2 linked regions of the Macaca mulatta genome follow. The protein of the gene in region 2 purifies or fractionates together with the protein of the main gene of each other region. This does not show direct contact. Links are inferred from orthologs where the notes say so. Each region holds a gene or a part of one and is shown on either strand. Other genes may lie near its edges.

What was found.
Region 1: the proteins of HNRNPA0 (region 2) and DHX9 purify together in Homo sapiens (affinity purification with mass spectrometry; 3 studies listed by BioGRID and IntAct, with this or other methods). This does not show direct contact. The link is inferred for Macaca mulatta from reciprocal best matches to the Homo sapiens genes HNRNPA0 and DHX9.

The regions. Positions count from the first base shown.
Region 1 is NC_133406.1:40,348,962-40,351,696, reverse strand, and holds the end of DHX9 (ATP-dependent RNA helicase A), read right to left. Parts: intron 1,484-2,735; coding exon 1,117-1,483; 3' UTR 706-1,116; downstream 1-705. UniProt on the Homo sapiens protein: Multifunctional ATP-dependent nucleic acid helicase that unwinds DNA and RNA in a 3' to 5' direction and that plays important roles in many processes, such as DNA replication, transcriptional activation, post-transcriptional RNA regulation, mRNA translation and RNA-mediated gene silencing.
Region 2 is NC_133411.1:146,603,159-146,606,873, forward strand, and holds HNRNPA0 (heterogeneous nuclear ribonucleoprotein A0), read right to left. Parts: upstream 2,518-3,715; 5' UTR 2,349-2,517; coding exon 1,437-2,348; 3' UTR 766-1,436; downstream 1-765. UniProt on the Homo sapiens protein: mRNA-binding component of ribonucleosomes. Specifically binds AU-rich element (ARE)-containing mRNAs. Involved in post-transcriptional regulation of cytokines mRNAs.

The sequences.
Region 1 (2,735 bases), on a different chromosome or scaffold from region 2:
TAAGCAGCTGAAAACTCCAAAGAAAACGGAGCAGAGAACACAGTACTGTCAGGACATAGGGTAGGTTGGGAGGGGAAGGAGGTCAGTTTGGAAAGCACTGAGATTTTTTTCTGTGGGATATTTAAGCAGAGATACATGTTCAGTATGCAGCTGCTTACATGGCTCAGAAAGGAAATCAAGGTTGGAGATAGACTTGTGTGTCTGTAAATATGTGCCATCAGCTTAACTGCTGAAGGTGATCTACAACATATATGCAGGATAAAGGACTTTGAAAAGGAAACCAAGACAAAAATATGACTTGCCCAAGATCATCCACATGGTGGAGAAAAGAATTAAGACAGACCCAGTTCTGTCTAATCCAATACCTTTGCCCTCTCCCATTGCTCAAATGAGAAATCTGCAAATTCACTGGAAACTGTAAAGTGTTATAAATGTATGAACATGTCTATTAAAGTGGCTTAAGAGTTCTAACGGAGTGATTATATTGCTTTTAATTGTCACAGTAGAAACTCACTTAGAAAAGAAAATGCTGGCCTTGGTCTTATTCAAAGACAGAATATGGGAGGAAGCCAAATGTTCAGCCCTAGGTCAAAAGTTTTATTCAGGTTTATGTGGCTTGTACACTTGCCAGTATTTACTTCAAAAGGTAACAATTCCAAGGTGATTTTTCTATTACAAGTAGTATCACTTAGTATACTTTTGAAACATGGTACAACTTCTCTGACATTTAAAATGAACAGATGTAACTGGCATTATAAAATTTTCTAATATATAAGGTCAACAAACTACACGGCAAGTATTCGGTGTAATACTTTATTTTCTACTGTATTAAACGAAAGCCAGGAAAATACCAAGTTATTTAAAGGCAAATCTTTACTCCTTAAAGAAAAAATACAAACTGTGGTATTTTTAAGATAGATCGTTATATTTTACATAATATAAACAAAATCACTAATGCATCTATATGCTTGGTTTCCTTAAACTACAATGAACCACAGAATGGGTGAAAATGCATTTACTTTTTGGTGGCAAATAAACATATTGGAAAAAACACGTAACACATAGCATGCCTTTTTTTCCTTACTGTCTACACACAGGAACTGACATAACCAAGATTTAATAGCCACCACCTCCTCTCCCCTGTCCAAAGTAGCCACCTCCATAGGCCCCCCTACCACCTCCTCGCTGGAATCCCCCAGATCCTCTGTAGCCTCCACTAGGCCCTCTGTAGTCTCCTCCAGAGTTGCCTCTAAAGCCACCTCGGGAAACTCCTCTATAGCCTCCACCAACACCTGCACCATATCCTGCCCGAAAGGAGTTGGGGCTGCCACCATAGCCTCCGCTACCATAGCCTCCGCCACCATAGCCTCCACTGGTATAGCCACCGCCATAGCCTCCACCGCTGTAACTAGAACCTCCCCTTCTATATCCGCTTCCATTGTCGTATCGGGCCATCTTGGGAGGACGTGGACCATCTCCATACCTAGGAAAAGCACAAAACCATCACTTCAGCAAAGCATTCTTATTATTTCCCAACCACTCACCAAATGCACACAGTTAGTTATATTTGAAAATTTAATACATAAAGGGAATGAAGCCAAACGCACAAATCGAAATTGAAACAAAATTGATCTGCTATTCTAAAACAGTCATCAATTATATCCATCTGTTTTTCTGAAGTTCTTTCTGGTTCAATCTCAAAGGTTTTGAATTTTGGCAGTATGTCATTACAACTTTAAGAAGTGCTCTTACTCAGGTCAACAACATAGTGTTCCAAGAAGGCAAGCATTAGGAGAGGGTTCCTGGAGCTGCCAATAAACTATTTGGTCTTTATCACTAAAAGTTTTCCTGCAATAATTCTGAAATACGATTTTGAAAAATGTATATCTAATTTTGAAAAATTCTATCTACTACTGTAATTTAGGCCACCACATATTCATACATCCTAAACTCTCTTACGTATATCCCTTTCTTTCTAGTTTCTGGACTACTATCCCTCATAGAAACAGATTATATATACAAAGGTTCCTTGCTTACCAGCCCTCCTACCAAAAATAATCTCTCTTCTCCTAAACACCCATGAATACTTAATTTGTTATCTGCCTATGATGCTTACTGAATTATCCTATACATTTAAGCACCTAGGAGGGCCACAGTAAAGCCTAGTAAGAACACTGTTTCAGGAGGCATGTTGCCTGGGTTTGAATCTGGTTCTATCAGTTATTAGTTGTATGACCTTGAGTCTTATCTGTGCCCGGTTTCCTTATTTATATTAAAGAGAATGAGGATAACCATCTACCCATTTTATAGACAGACCAAATGCAGTAAGTCATTTTTGATGAGGAATTAGAGGTCATTTTTGGATAACTGGAAGGATTTTAGTACAATAGCATATTATAGTATTACTAAAACACTTAAGGTTTTGGGGTGGTATTGTGACCATGTTCTTAAAAGATATGAAGTGTATTGATGTAAAATGTGGTAGTGCCTACTACTTCATCACAAATGATTAAGGAAATGTACAAAACGCTGAAAATTAGTGAATCTAAACAAAGACTATATGGCTAAACATTGTATCACTTTTCTGCCTTTTTGGCAAGTATCAAGTATTTGTAAATAAAAACTCATGGGCAAAGGAAAAAATTTTAAAACCTGAAGCAAATAAAAATTTTAAGAATTAAGATAAATTTCTCATTTCTTTGCTTTAAGATGTCCATGCTCTTAGTTGTTTAAGA
Region 2 (3,715 bases):
AAATATACATTTGTTAACCAAGCAGAATACACAGATATTTTGCTTTACAACTTGCACCTAAAATACCAGTATACGTAGCTGGTTCATTAGTTGTCATAGCAATTTAGGGCTATTGCCCAAGCTATGCATAGCAGTTTACATTTTCAAACCTCATATAGAAAGGGCAATTGTGATATGAACTGGCAACTACATTCCTGTGAAGCCCATCTCAGTTACAAGCAAACGTGTAACTTCCAAGTCTGCAAAGAATTCTGATGGCAAAACTTCTATATCTGATGCAATTGTCCTAAGCAAGTTTTTAAACAAATTGTTTCGCAGCTACTCTGCCATTCTGCCAGTAGGTGGTGCTACAAAGATCGGGAAAAGGATTTCCATGAGGACAACAGTTCAGATATAGAGGGGGAAAAAAACCGTTTAAACCTGCTCTGAAAGTACAAAAACGCATCTGAGGGTAAAATATAACCCTCATTTTTAACCATTCATTACAGATAAACCAGTAAGAGGGATGAAACTAGGCCATCTGAAAAATTTTAAACAGTTTATATGAATGACATGCTTAACACAAACTATATAGAACTACACAGTACACAGTTTGAAGTAAATTGTCATAGAAATGACCAACCATGTCAAGATGGTAAGCAAATCGCTTAGTACAAGAGATGGATGCACAGAAACTTAAGAGTTTAAAAAGCCACATCCACCACTTCAAAAGTTTTGCCTGTAGGGGATATAATTCAACACGCAACTAGCAGGGCAACGGGGGGCGGGGGGGGGGACCACAGGACCTCTTAAGTTTCTCTAAGTACACATCAAGAATAAAGAATTAACACGTAAAGTCTTAAACAAATATCCCTTAAAAACGGTACGGAATGGATCCTAGAAAAGAAATGTTAGACATGTACGGTCAAACACAATGATTTATTAAAAATAAAACGTAAAAATGATTTTTGTACATATGCTTCCAAATTTCAGGCATGGGATCCAAGTAGATTTCATAGAAAACGCTGTAGCCAGGTTATCAAGTCCTTACAACAAAGTAAACTACCCCCCACCCCAACCCCCGCCCAGGTTTTGCTACAGAATCAGCAAGTTCACTCCCTCCCTCCCCCCAAAAAACACAAATTAAAACAAGACATTTTGCTAGTATAAAAACGACCAAGGTCCAAGTAATAATAAAAAAATAGAGTCCATCAATGACTGTAACACAAAAATGTGTATGTGGGGCCGAGTCCATCTTCAGAGGGAGAGACAAGAGAGGTGGCAGGCAAATAGAGGAACACCCCCAAGGGTAAGCAGCCTTAGAAGTGGCTCCCCCAAGGGCAAAACAGGGAAGGCGGTGGTGTGGGTGTGAGGGGGTGGGGCTTAGGAGTTGACCCCACTTGGGTTTTTGAAAAGAGCTACCCCAATAGCCACTCCCAGGCATTTTAAATTTTCTTTTAGAAGGAGCTCCCTCCATAGCCACCCCCACCTCCATAGCCGCCTCTGTAAGGTCCACTATTACTGCGACCGCCCCAGCTGCTGCCTCCGCCGCCGCCGCCGCTCTTCATGGGCCCGTAAGAGGACTGATGCTGACTGTAGCTGCCGAAGCCGCCGAAGCCGTTACCGTAGTCGCTCCCACCGTAGGACGAACCGCCGCCGCCGCCTCCGTAAGCATTGTAGCCGCCGCCACCGCCGCCGCCGTAACCACCGTAGCTGTTGTAACCGCCGCCGCCGCCCTTGGAAAGGCCGTTCTGGTCTCGACCACCGCCGCGCCCCCGGCCGCCTCGGCCGCCCCGGGAGGATCGGGAGCCGCCTCCACCCCCACCGGAGTAGATATCCTCCTTGGGGACTGCCTTCTTCACCTCCACGCGATGGCCCTGAATCGGATGGAACTTGACCACCGCGGCCTTGTCTGCCGCGTCGTGATTCTGAAAATACACGAAGCCGAATCCACGCTTCTTGCCGGACTGCTTGTCGGCAATAATCTCGGCCTTTTCCACGGTGCCAAACTGCGAGAAGTGCTCGATCAGGTCGCCCTCAGCCACGTCTCCCTTAAGGCCGCCGACAAAGAGCTTCTTAACCTTGGCGTGGGCACCGGGCCGCGCCGAATCCTCCCGGGACACCGCCCGCTTCAGCTCCACAGTGTTGCCGTCCACGGCATGGGGCGAGGCGGCCATGGCGGCGTCGGCCTCCTCCACATTGGAGTAGGTCACGAAGCCAAAGCAACGGGAGCGCTTGGTCTGGGGATTCACCACCACCACGCAGTCCGTCAGAGTCCCAAAGGCCTCAAAGTGGCCGCGCAGGCCCGACTCACTCGTCTGCACATTGAGGCCGCCGATGAACAGCTTACACAACTGGGAATTCTCCATCTCCAAGGCTCGGGCCTTGCCCCCGCCCTGCGAGCTCCGAGGTTTCGCCGTCGCCGCCGTTATCGTTGGTTAAGGCCTCTACACAGCTTGGGCCCAGCCGCTGCTGGAGCCACCCCCGCCGGTCACCGACAGGGAAGGGAAAAAGGGAAGGGGAGGGAAGGAAGGAAGAAAGGAAGGGGGAGGGAAGGGGAGCGGTGCCGGCGAAAGGGCGAGCCGAGGAGACTGGAAGACAACCAAGGCCACCGCTACCGCCGCCGCCACCTCCGCTCCCCTATCTGGGCACCACACAAAGAGGCCGCTGAACGCGCGCGCACCCTCCCCGAGGCGTGCGTCACCGCCGACGTACGGCAGCCTAGGGCTGCCCTCCAATCCCCGCCTCGCTCCCCTTAATCCCGCCTACCGCGCCGCAGCGCCGCTCTAGATCACGGACTCCCCGCCCTCCGCGGTCTATTCAAGCCCGCGGCCTGTGCCGCTCCCGCCTCCCCTTCTGCCAACCCGCTTTCATTCCCGAGCGCCCTATTGTCCCTTGACATGGGTCCCTCCCTGCCCTCCGCGCACCGCCGCGATTCATTTCCTCCTAGCACTGCGGCTGTTCCCAGTGTTTCTCCCCCTCCCCTTTCCTCATCTCCGCGCCCAACTCCGCAGTGGCGTTCGCGCCAGCCCCTTGAGAGACATGTCAGTTCAGCCAATCACCGTGATCCCCTCGCACCCACTTCCGTTTTCGGCAGCTGTTGGACGGGCGCGCTCCCCGGTGCGCGCTTGCCCCGGCGCCCCCAGCGTGCAGAACCTGTCTGCCACCCCCTCGCCTTCTGCAGCCCAGGGCTTTGCAGGGGAGAGAGCAGGAGGCGCGCTGGGGGCCATTCCCAGCGGATGCGGCCTGGGGCGCCATGCGCGGGCTTTTTGAAAACTTGACGTTGGGGTTGGGGGCCCGGATCTACCCGCCGCCTTTCCGCTTGTCCGCTACACCTGGCGTCCCCGCCCCACCTCCCGCCCGCACAAAGATGGAGGGCAGAGGCCTGGTCCACGAAGGCGGTTATTAACCGTTTACGGTGGGCCGACATGCGGTTAAACTAAAACTCTGCCACGTGGCCCTGCGCAAAAGCGAGCCCGAGGCGGCGGTGTGAAAGACAACGGAACCAAAGAGCTTCAGACATTACGAACCAGACGAGGCGCGACATCCCTGCCACCATCCCGCCATCCTTGAAGCCCTCCCACGACGCCCTCTCAGAAGGAGGCCCTTTCAGGTCCCCTTGGCATACTCCAAAATTTTCATTTAACCTCAGTGAATGGGTTTTTATGTGTAATTTACATCATCCATGTGTTGCTTTCTTTCAACTAGAATGTTAGTTTTTTGTTTTTGTTTTTGT